Linked DNA regions of Coturnix japonica. The protein of the gene in region 3 purifies or fractionates together with the protein of the main gene of each other region. This does not show direct contact. Links are inferred from orthologs where the notes say so. Each region holds a gene or a part of one and is shown on either strand. Other genes may lie near its edges.

Region 1 (4,106 bases), on a different chromosome or scaffold from region 3:
CCAGAAGACCCCTATCTTTTCTGAACTGAGGAGCCCAGAACTGCACACAGCACTCCAGATGTGGCCTTACAAGGGCAGGGCAGAGCGGAGGATCACCTCCCTCGATCTGTAAGCCACGCCACGTATGATGCACCTTAGGTTCTCCTTGGCCTTCTTGGCCATAAGGGCACACTGCTGGCTCATTGCTGCCCACCAGGAGAGCACCTGTACTAGGTTCAACTAGGCCTGAAATCTTCAGTGTGGAAAAGTCCAGCTGCACAAAACTTTTAACATGATGGTCAGTGACACATAAACAACGAGCTGCCGGATTATATTCACAGAATCACAGAATCACAGAATGACCCGGTTGGAAGGGACCTCAAGGATCATGTAGTTCCAACCCCCCTGCCTGGCAGGGCCACCAAACATACACATTTACTAGATCAGGTTGCCCAGGGCCCGTCCAACCTGGTCTTGAACACCTCCAAGGACGGGGCATCCACACCTCCCTGTGCAGCCTGTTCCAGGGCGAACCACTCTCTACTGAAGAACTTCCCCATAACATCCAATCTAAATCTTCCCTCTTTAACTTAAAACCGTTTCCCCTAGTCCTACTATTGTCAGACCTTTCGAAGAGTTTACTCCCTCCTGGGAGTAAGTTCCCTTCAGGTATTGAAGAGCTGCAATGAGGTCACCCCGCAACCTTTCTTCTTCTCTAGGCTGAACAAGCCCAACTCTCTCAGCCTGTCCTCATCGGGAGGTGCTCCAGCCCCCTGAATCATCTTCGTGGCCCTCCTCTGGACCCTTTCCAAAATCTCCATGTCTTTTGTACTGAGGCTCCACACCTGGACTACAGTACTCCAGATGGGGGCTCAAAAAAAGCAGAGAGGGACGATCACCTCCCTATCCCTGCTGACCACCCTCTCCTGATGAGGCCCAGGATCCCATTTGCTTTCCGGGCTGCCAGAGCACACTGCTGGCTCATGTTAAGTTTCTCATCTATCAGGACCCCTAGGTCTTTTTCTGCCGAGCTGCTCTCAAGGAGCACACCTCCCATTGATTCAAACATCAGCCGTGATATTTTTGGTGTCGTGGAGATGCAGCAAGCACACTACGTCCCTTTCACAGAGAACAGCCTCTTTCAGGCACACAGCCTCGCCCCCACGCAGGTCCCATGGACAGCCCAGGCGGGGCCGTCCTGCGGCGGGGCATGGACTTGGGGCACAGCCCGGGCAAGGCCCCGCCCCGAGCCGAGGGCGGAGCGGCTGCCGCCGCCCGACTACAGGCCGCGGTGGGGTTGTCCGGCTGTTAACTGCCTCGGTAAGCGCGACTGGGGGCCGGGTCCTTTCGGAGAGGCTCGGCTGTAGCCGGCCCGGTGGGCTGAGGTGAGGCGGCTCGTTCGGCTGCGAGCGGTGGGAGGGCGGCCGTGGGGAGGCGGGGCTGCCCCCCGGGTTGAGCCCGGGGCTGGTTGTGGTGGTGCTGCGGGCTGAGCCGGGTCGGGTACCGGCTGGTGCTGCTTAAAGGGAGCGACGGGGCCGGATCATTCCGGGTTAAAGTGTCGCTGAGAAGCAGGTATCCTGTAAGCGGCTCGGTACGGAAGTTGAGGTAGAATTCCCTGCTCCGTGTGTGCCGCCTGCTTTGAGAGGTTCGGATCGGGGTGGCCTTGTGTTGTTTTTATCTGCTGGTGAGAAACCTGTTGGTGATGGCGGGGGGCTGGTAGGCCTGCTCGTAATTAAAAGCGTTAAATAACAGTCTTGCGTAACTGCGGACCTTATTGGAATCGTTTCCCTTTCCCGGAGAACACGAGATAGTGATGGTGCCTTTGTACGCAGTCCGGGCCGCCAGCTGCCCCGCCGTGTGCTCACTTTCCGTTCCGGAGATGTGCTGGGTTGGCACTTGAGAGCTGACAGCTCTGCCCTGACACCCTGTGATGGGAGCTCACACTATGCACGGCGTCAGGAAGAAAGTTGGTTTATGAGGAGAAAATAGGCTTGAGACAGCAGAGCTGAGAGGAGGGTAGGAATGACCGTGTCGGGTCAGATCGCTGGCTTTCGTATTACCCAGCCCTCAGTGCTTAAATATCAGCTGTAGGCCACCACTTAATGAAAAATTTAAGCGCTACTCTGAAGAGGCTAATTTAAATAAGCTACAAGGGGGGGAAAATAAAAGAGATGAAGTTGATCAGCTAGTATCTGCTATGTTCAACTGAATCCTTTGTAACAGTTGCGCTGGATCAGTATGTTCTCAAAAGTTACTGATGCCTTAATTGCTTTTTATTAAGATTAAGGCTTAAATAGTTCTGTCTGTGTTGTAGTTCTCCTTCACTGTCTTCATCTTTGAAATCAGCAGCTGACAGATAAACAGGTGACATATCGGAAGATCTCTGGATTAAGGGGTTGGTTTTGTTCTCCCATAGCCGCACCTACAAATACAGGGAGCTGGATGGCATATTCTACCTCTGTCGGTCAGGATATTTAATCCCCTTAATAAGCATTAGGCGTCTTGTTTACGTTTTCACAGTTAGAACCACAACCAAACTGCATTTTTAAACTTTTTTATTATTTTAATGGAGTTTGCTGCATTAGAAGAAGGGTGGTCAGCCAGAAAGCTGAGGTGCCAGCTTACAATATCAAATGGAATCTGATATTGTAAGCTGGCCCACATTGCCCCACTGCCCTCTAGCATCCCTTGGCCAAGTCACTTGGCACCAGACAGTATATCTGTAATGATGTTGGAAGGGGGCTGAGGAATGAGTCAAGTGCTGGTTTGATCTGTGATTATCTACCGTGTTCATCAGCTCTTTTCTTAGCTCTCTTTTGAATCAGCTTTCTCAAAGACAAGTTCCTGTGAGTCTTACTGAGCACTAAGAAAATATCTGGCCATCCAGATCCAAAGGCTCAATTTTGGAGCTCTTGTATTTAACAGTATGCACTTGGCCATTTATCCTAGCTTTAAAACATAGGAAATAACAATGTACAGAAATAGATTACAACATACTGGGCATTTAAATACTGTATTAAAATCATACACTGAAAAAGATAATGACGACTGATATTCCTTGCATATGATCAAGAAACTACTTTGACTTCAGGAAATGTTTCCTCTTGTATTCTGAGGGAGCAACCCAGCTGGTTTATTTACTTCAGTATACCCACCATTATTTTGTATTGATTTTAATTCATTTTTATTTATTAAATTTATACACTTGGTTATAAACTGACTTTTAGTTTTCCTGTATTAAAATCAACTGTGAATCCCTTCCTCTGTTCCTAAGTGCATTGTCCCACAAATGAATAGTTTGGCTCTGACTGCTGTACACGCAGCACAAATTTGGGATGTTTCAGACAATCAGAGATGAGTTAACAATGCTCCCACTCTTCTGAGCTGCTAAGCCTGTTTTTGTATCTCCGTCACACATGGCCATGCAGTGCTGCCTTGTATGCACTGGACCTGCTGACATCTCAGTTTCCTGACACGTCTTTTATTTCGAGTTAACAAAGATTTTGCTTTAGTGAGAACAGTTCTGTTGACAGTGCAGCGAGCATATAGAGTGGTACTTTACTATTGCTCACTCTTAAGCAGAAATACAGCTGTTACTTTTGCATTTCACTTGTCACTGTAAAAGAAGACAAGGTATTAATTGTTAGGAAAAGTAATTACTTAAAATCTGGATAGTATCTTTGCCTTAGCTGCCCTAACAAAACCAAATCAAAACACACGGGGCAAAGCAGGTGATGATGCTGCAGTGTTTGTTCACACAGGCAAGTAGTTACTGCCCTAAGCAGGGACTTGATTAAATTCACAGGCTCTAAAAACGTCAAAATGCAGAGTGTTGCTCATAAAGAAATTAACTGTGATGTTGGGTTAAACTCTGACCTTCTTTATTGCTCTGTTAAGTCTTTTCTGTTCTGGAAGCTTCAAATAATTTTTAGATCAGTGTTCTTCACTGTTGAGCTGTCTTTATATCCTCTGTAAAAGAAAAATGATTTTCAGTAAATGCGAGTGTTGATGCAAGATGAAGTGGTTTAGGAGTCCCTAGGTTGTTTTTTTTTGCTAGCAAATTACTTGACGCGTATGTCTTCAATGACTCCATATGCTTGGTTAACGTCCATCACTTTTTATTATGA
Region 2 (4,443 bases), on a different chromosome or scaffold from region 3:
GAAAAACAAGGGGCTTAACCCACCCCTACTTCGAAGAGCTTGGTAATGACTGCTAATTGCTCTTCCTCATTCAAAGCTACTTGGCCTACATGGAGCTACAGCAACTACACACACTGAAGCTCTACAGAGAAAGAGAAATAACCTTAAACAGTACTAAGGAAGGTTCAGGTTGGATATTAGGAACAATTTCTTTTCAGAAACAGTGGTGACACATTAACACAGGCTGCCCAGGAAGGTGGTGGAATCACCATGCTTGGAGAACCATGATGCTGTGGGACTGATGGACATAGTCAGTGGGCATGGGGGGAACGGGTTGGGGTTGGACTTGTGGAAGGGGTCTTTTCCAGTCTGAATGATTTTATGATAAAATGAGAAATGGTGGTAGAATAAAGATATTCTTCTCATTACCTGTTATCTTGTCAGTGATGCCACCACTGCACAGCTGAACGTCCTCTAGCTGCGCCTTAACCCACCACAGGATCCTGCAGAAGCAGCTCTGACATTGCTCTCACCTTGAAGCTACTCTTAAGAGAGGCAGTGACTCCTCTCCAACCACTGCTTACCTTCTTAATTCTCCTATTAACCGAGTCAACATATTCCTGCGATAAACATTCACACCCTGTACAGTATTCATTGTGAGTTACAGCACACTATTACAAAGTGTTTCCATCACAAGCAACACTCACAACTCAGGCACTACTTCTAGCTTCTTAGGAAAACCTTTTCCAAGCCCTGTAAACGCCAACAATATCTTCTCTGTTGCTATAGATTTCATACTGAAAGTGCTTAAGTCACCCAATAACCAGCAGCAAAACAAAACTCTCAAACAATAATAAAAGGAAATCCTCAAGGAGGAACTCACGTGGATAACAAGCAGCAGCACAGCTCCCCACCTTCCAAGCACTAAAGGGCCTCTCAAAGGTCTGAACAGAGATGGAAGAGCCAAGTACCAGCAGCTGGCTTAAAGAACTCAGATGGGAGCCTGACACAGATCAGCTGAGACACCCTTGATTAAAGCCGGCCATGCTTTATTGCTTCAGGACCTAATTTCTAGTTGCTGTCACCTGTGTTGAATTTGCTTCAGATCAATATTCAGTGGCCTGAACCTGATGGGCAAGAAGGCACTATGAGGATCTGAGCTGGAGGAAACCCTTAAATGTGCCTTAAGAAACATGTTTCCTTCATGCTGCGTTGGTGTGGTTATGTTAGAAGGGTGCCGACTTCGCACTGTGCATACAACTGTATTTCACTTTAAAAGTTTATCTTCTCAATTGAGAGGCTGCACACACCGTTACATCAATCACGTATTGCTGTAGCTCTCATCACCTCCAAGGCCGCCTCCGCACACAAAGAGCAGCACGGCCCGGCCCTCTGCCCTTAGCGGCTGCCGGGGCCCAGCGCGGGGCAGGAACTTCGGCCTCCGGCACAGCTCCGCCCCGAGCTCAGACGCCGGGTCCGTCCCGCACACCGACAGCTGCGGGGCGGAGCGAAGCGCCGCTCGCTGTGGGGCCGGAGGCGGCCGGCCTGGCCTCATTGCGCCGGGGCGGGCACAGCTCCCCGGCCGCCGAGCGCGGTGCCGCCGGGCCCTACGTGCGCGATCCCGGCGGGGCGGAGTGAGAGGAGGAGCCGGGGCGGCCTGTGCGACAAAGCCCAGTGCGCAGAAAGCTGGTGACCAGGAAGCGGAACGGCACCGGGCTGCCGCGGGGCGGGGGGCGGGCGGACCCCACCTGAGCCCCGCTGCCCCAGCGCTCCCGGGCGGGAGCCGAGCCCTGCGGCCCCACGGCTCGGGGCCAAGTGCGGCCGGCGCTGCGGGGCGGCCGTGCTGCCGCTAAGCCGCTTAGGGCCGGGCTGGCATGAGCCTCCCCGGCGGGGCGGCTGCGGGCTGCGCGCTGCGGGGCGGCTGAGGGTGCGGAGCCGTCCGTCGTAAGGAGGGGGAGAAAGCGGAGGGGACGCCCCTGCTCCCCGGGGGGAAGGAAAATGGGGAACTGCCTCAAGTCCCCCACATCAGATGACATCTCGCTGCTCCACGAGTCCCAGTCGGACCGGGCCAGCTACGGGGACGGGGCTGAGCCGGATCAGGAGCCGCCGCCGCCATATCAGGTACGGGAGGGGGCGGGGAGCGGCGCGGCGGAGCCGGTGGGGACGGGGACGGACGGAGAGGGGCACGGGACGGGGGGGCGGGTTGAAGCCCCGAGGACCCCCCGGGGCGCTGCACAGCGTCCGTCCCCGCGGGCACCGAACGGCGGGTCCCGGCCGTGAAGTGAGGAGCGCCGCTTTGTTCCCCGGGGGGTCGCCGAGCTGTCGCGGGGCCGCACGGACCGTTCGGGACACGAAGCCGGAGACGGCGGAGGGGGGTCGGGGCCCGCCCAGGGGTCGGAGCCGCCTCGATCGTGTCTGGATTTGGGCTGAAAGCAGGAGGGGAAGGCGTCGAGTTTCCAGCCGTGCCGCTTCCTTTGTTGTCGTCGCGCGGTGACATCACTGTCTGTGCCGCTCTCGGTGCTCCCCGCACCGGAGGCCGCGCGCTCGGCGCTGCCCGGCTTTGTCTGCGGCGCTTCGGCAGCAGCTGAACCGGAGTAACTTCGTGCTGCGGGGTGAGCCCGTTTCTTTCAGCTCCGTGCGGTTCCAGGAAGGGCCGTTCGCTCTCCTGCCTGGAGAGGATGTGTACATTGACGGCTGATGACGAGCTGGGGAAGAACGCCGGGTGCTCCGTCACGTCCTCACAGCTGTGGGGTCCCGGCACAGCTCTGTGCTGTGATGGCCACCAAAAGGACCCAGGGCTGCATTTATCCCCTGCTTCATCTCCATCTCCTAAGGAAGGATTGTACGTGGCTCTGAGCAGGACACGAGCCCTGTCTGAAGGGATCTGTAACAGTGACAGGTACAGATGAGTCCTGCGCTCCTTAGGGTGGGGAGTCACGCAGGAGTTGCAGACCTTAACGTATTATTAACAAGGCTGCAGGAAGTATTTAGCAGGGCAGATATTAACCTGTGATACTCGACGAACACCGGCTGTGACAGGAGGTCCCTGGGTTGCTCCATGGGCACAGCAACCCTTGGTGGAACCATGCTGGGACCACTGGGCCCTGCAGAGCTGCTCGCTTTATGTGACTGCTTCATGACAGAACAAATTCCCTAAGATGGGTTGGGTTTTTTTCCCTGACTTTTTAGTAAAGTCTGCACAAGTCCATTAAATAAAGATGTGTGGTGTCAGGTTTTTTTGACAGGCGATGTTCTGAGCCAATCCTGCTTGTCCCTCCTGTTTGGGAACGCAATGAAAATTGTCCCTTGGAAAAAAACCTGTCGGCTCTTGCAGGAGTTGAGAAATTGCACTGTGCAGGCCTTCTCCTGTCGACTTCAGAGCACAGCAGACAGTAAAATAAGCAAACTCGCAGACATTTGTTACTGTGTGCATTCATAGCAAAACTCCCCCAAACCCCACGCGCTGATCCCAGCAGATCTCAAACACTCACTGTAAGGGGCATCTTGTGTTGCATAGTCAACATTCAAAGATACTCGCTCCACAAATAAAGAAACACAGTGCTTTGTGATGACAAAAGACCTTCACCTTCATACTTTGCAGTATTCCACACGCTTTGAGGTTGAGGGGGGTTGTAACTTCAAATTGTTTTGGGGTGAAAAGGTGTGCAAGCCGAGCGCTGAACCTGGGGAACTCCTGGAGCTCCATTATTGCTGTAGTGGCAGCAGGATGTTGTGATCTTATCCTCTTCCTTGCCTGCCTTCCTCCGCAGGTCTGCATGTTCTCTTACACACTTTAATTCTCATTCAAACATTGTAGAAAGTATCACCTATAAGGACAAGAATCCCACATGCCCATTTCTAACACTGAATCTGAGCTATGATCTGGAATTTAAAATAAGGCCAAGAGTTTAAAAACTTGTTTGTGGCACCTACTGCTGCGCACGAGGAGCTGTGGACGATTAACAACTTAAAACTGAGCTGCTGGAGCCTCAGCCATAAAATGGCTGCATTTGGGTTTGCTTCCTTTGGGTTTGCAGCAACGATGTGCAAACTTCCTGAGCCGCTCTCTCAAGGTGTGCTAACAAGCAGAGCGAAGGAAGCTTGCTGGGGTAGGTGCAGCGTTGTAGACAGGACTTGTGTGTCTCTTTGAGCTAAAGTCTGTGCTATCTTGATACTCAAAACATTTTCTGTGTCTTGGCACGCTTGTTTTGTGGGTGTCCATATGGGAATCGAGTTAAGCAATAATTTTTTAAGGTGTTCACTTCTAACTGCAAAATAGGCACCTAATAATCTCTTCACTGTTGCATGCCAAACTCCTTTTCATCACTGAGTGCTACTGAATCTGCTGTATAAAATTCCTGCTTCTAAAAGTTGAACTGAAAATTGGATTGTCAGTACAGACACATGGAATAATGAGGAATATCCCTGCCCTTCAGAGGCTCTGTATATACCTGTCACTTGTCA
Region 3 (3,646 bases):
TGCTCACATACTGACTTGCTCATGCAATACTGTGTTAACACAAGTATTGAAAGCCACTGCACCTGATTAATCATCCTGTCTCTTAGCAGGCTAAACTCTGCGTGTGTCCCCTCCAGATTTTTACCTTGTTTGGCAGGACCAATCTGAATGCTTTATCCTGCAGCTAGTTCTAGCTGTTAGCATGAAAAAGATGCTGCTTCTACAAATGTCTTGCTGATGACTAATGTCATTGTTTCTTTTCTTGTTATCTGGCTGTGATATAATCTAAAAGTTTATTAAATTTGATACTGCTATACAGAGTTAATGTTGTCTCAGTACAAAACTTGCATAGAATGGCATACAACATTCTCGTGCTTATTAAAAGATGCACAGAACCTAATTAGGGCTGTGGTATCCTGGCTGCCTTTCTCTGTTTATTCTTTCTAAATAGCCTCTCAGTTAGAAGTATAGTTTATCAAGGCGTGATCCATGACTTAGATTTCATTGAACTGTTTGGAGAAACACATCTGCAAACCTCTCATTTTTATTCCCCAATTTCAGGTAAATACAGGGATAGAAAAGACACCGTAGAAATGTGACAGCTGAAAGATGGTCAGAATAGAATTCTGTTCCTTCAATTGTTACAGGATAGACCTTTCTCCTTTTGCAGCTTTTCCATAGCCCTTGGTTTTCAGTTTAAAGTGCTTAGGGTCTGGTATTAAAATCCTAGAGTATATATGTCTGCATTTGAGGTTACTGGTTATAAGCCTTATAAAAATGCTAAAAGTGACAAATATTTTAAACATCAGATACCTTGATACAGAAATGCCAGATTCTATTATAATTTCAGGTCAGCTGAGTTGGGATCTATGAAACCAGGGAATAAAATGTATTAAGCCTCAACAAAAAAGTATTTTCACATCGTTGTGTCCTGTTAGCTTAACTAATGCACGGTAATTTGTTAAATTGCTGTAACTCGGTGTTTGTTTTGCTGACAGACTGGGAATGGAAATAAGATGATGTTGGATTTTACCTGGATTGTTCAGAACTTTCTAAATAGAGATTTGAGTCAATATGCAGTAAAGCAGGCATGGTGAGGGTGGATTCCGTGCAACTAATGGGCAGCTAAAACCTAAGCTGTGAGAGTGTGTTCAGGGTGAGAACAATCATTTCTAAATGCTGGAAATGGAGACTTTGTAGCATTCTGTTTTTTATGGATCGATTGTTTTTATATCTAAAAAGTGTGTAAAGTTTTATATTTTTATATGGTTGTAATACAACTCTGTTTATATTATTTTTCCAAGTTTGCATATATTTTGACCATTTCATCAGATGCTTAAAGGGAATGATGATAAAGATGTGTCCATGTGTATTTGATAGTTTTTATGTATATGTGTTCTTTTTTTTTTCCATAGAGAATGGTTTTTCTTGCTTTCCCATGAAGTACTGAACCCTATGTACTGCCTGTTTGAATATGCTGGCAAGAGCAACTATTGCCTACAGATAAATCCAGCATCAACAATCAATCCTGACCATCTTTCATATTTCTGTTTCATCGGGCGTTTTATTGCCATGGTAGGTTAGAGTTTTAAAGTTTTATTGTTTCTTGTATTTATACAATCGTTTCTGAAATAGGAAATTCAAAGTAACATTTTAATTTTGTGAATTTGATGTGTGTACTTCATGTAAACAGTTGCTTTGTTATCTGAATACTCACACTCTGAAAAATGTGACTAATTTTTGTAAGCAGGTTCCTCAGTTAGACTTAGTACATCTTGATGTGTTAGAAAAAATGAGTTAAAAACATATTGCAGAGTACATTGTATCCAAATGTGTGTTTAAATTAAGGTTCAGAGGTTGCATACATGGAAAAGCAGAAGCTTTCAGGGGAGTTTATAGCATCCCGAATCACTGCTATCATGTTTCTCCTAAAGCTGTAAGCTAAGCAGAGATGTTACATCATTTCTCCTTGTATCACTGAGTCAGGTATCTCTAATGGAGTCTTGCTAGAACATCTTTTTCCTTCCTTCTAGTGATAGAGGGAACCACAGTGCCATTTAGCAGCAAGATGTGGAGAAGCAAATTATTTGCTAGAATTAAATACTGTCTATTTTTGTAGTGATTTTTGTTCATAGGCACCATATAAATGCCTGTTAACTGAGAAATCTACCTCATTTGTAGAAGAGAATGAGAATTTAATTCAAGTATTTAAAGTCATTAATAATCAAACTTTTCTGTCTTGAAATTGTTTATTTTCATTTTAAATTCTGTAAGAAAAAGAGACTGATATAATAGTGCCTAGTGTAGATGGTTTCAAGGTTTGAATGGCACTAACTGCTCCACTTCCTGAATACCTTCTAATGACTTAAAATAGCTCAAGCAGTAACCTAAATGTGAATCATTTTTAGTGTTCAAGATGGTTGTAATAAGTGCAGTTATAACTTCGGTTTGTCTCAGAATTCTAGAAGACTTGCTGCTTTCAGATCATAAAAACTTAACTTGACTTTAAGTATTGAAATAACCACAGACATTTTTGACTGCAGCTGAGTTAAATGTAAATATATGTCTTGTATTACTCTGTGTTACTCTCTTGTGTTACACTTAACAAAATGAAATTGTGAAATGGTAGTTGATACCTGCATGACACAATTGTTATGTTTGCTGTGAGATTACCGTAGCTAATAAGTGAGATGATTTAAGAGTGTACTTCTACAAAATCAAAACAAAACAAGCAACAGGAAATCATATGGCTGGGTAATGCTTTAGGTGTTTATTTTGTCCAGTTCTACTAGTTCACTCTCCCATGAGAATTATAGATTAGCTTAAAAGTAAACAAACAAAATAAGGCCTCATGCCTTTTTCATGCCTTCATGCATGGTAGAGTAATCCTCAGAGGGGAAATGAGAATGTAGTGCAGTCAAATGGAATGTTGACTTTTTCTGGAGAAAATGGGCTGTTACACTGGTGCTTTTTCTTACTATTTCAGTTTTAAGGAGTGTCAAGCAGTAGGCCATACTGCAGCCTATTTTTAGAATGATTTAGAATATACTTGCAGCCCAGAAGGCTGATGGTATCCTGACTTCCATCAGAAGAGGGGTGGCCAGCAGGTCCCCTTTTATTCTGCTCTCACAAGGCCTCATCTGGAGTAATGCATCCAAATGTAGGGCCCTCAGCATAGGAAAGATGTGTAGCTTTTGGAGAGGGTCCAGAGGAAGGCCACGAAGATGATCTGGAGTCTGGAGCATGTCTCCTATGAAGACAGGCTGAAGGAACTGGGTTTGTTCAGCCTGGAAAGGAGGAGGCTGCGAGGAGACCTCATTGCAGCTGGCCTTCTAATATTTAAAGGGAGTTTATAAATATGAGGGAAATAACTTTTTACATGGGTAGATAGTGATGGGACAATAAGAAATGGTTTTAAACTGAAGGAAAAGAGATTTGTATTCAATATCGGGGGTAAGTTTTTTACTGATAATGGTGAGGTGCTGGAACAGGTTGCCTAGAGAGGTTGTGGAAGCCTTGTCCCTGGAGGTGTTAAAAAGGCCAAGTTACATGGGTCCCTGGGCAGTCTGATCTAGTACTTGATCTAGTGATTGTTAACCCATGCCTGTTGCATGGGAGTTGGAAGTTGATGATCCTTGGAGTGCCTTACAACCCAAGCCATTCTGTG

Evidence for each region. Proteins that work in one complex are often made in the same cells at the same time.
Region 1: the proteins of WWP1 (region 3) and SPART purify together in Homo sapiens (affinity purification with mass spectrometry; 5 studies listed by BioGRID and IntAct, counting the BioPlex papers as one, with this or other methods). This does not show direct contact. The link is inferred for Coturnix japonica from reciprocal best matches to the Homo sapiens genes WWP1 and SPART.
Region 2: the proteins of WWP1 (region 3) and RNF11 purify together in Homo sapiens (affinity purification with mass spectrometry; 3 studies listed by BioGRID, with this or other methods). This does not show direct contact. The link is inferred for Coturnix japonica from reciprocal best matches to the Homo sapiens genes WWP1 and RNF11.

Annotation. Positions count from the first base shown.
Region 1 is NC_029516.1:154,378,431-154,382,536, forward strand, and holds the start of SPART (spartin), read left to right. Parts: upstream 1-1,174; 5' UTR 1,175-1,299; intron 1,300-4,106. UniProt on the Homo sapiens protein: Lipophagy receptor that plays an important role in lipid droplet (LD) turnover in motor neurons.
Region 2 is NC_029523.1:21,407,809-21,412,251, forward strand, and holds the start of RNF11 (RING finger protein 11), read left to right. Parts: upstream 1-1,511; 5' UTR 1,512-1,977; coding exon 1,978-2,100; intron 2,101-4,443. UniProt on the Homo sapiens protein: Essential component of a ubiquitin-editing protein complex, comprising also TNFAIP3, ITCH and TAX1BP1, that ensures the transient nature of inflammatory signaling pathways. Promotes the association of TNFAIP3 to RIPK1 after TNF stimulation.
Region 3 is NC_029517.1:111,484,415-111,488,060, forward strand, and holds part of WWP1 (NEDD4-like E3 ubiquitin-protein ligase WWP1), read left to right. Parts: intron 1-1,394; coding exon 1,395-1,554; intron 1,555-3,646. UniProt on the Homo sapiens protein: E3 ubiquitin-protein ligase which accepts ubiquitin from an E2 ubiquitin-conjugating enzyme in the form of a thioester and then directly transfers the ubiquitin to targeted substrates.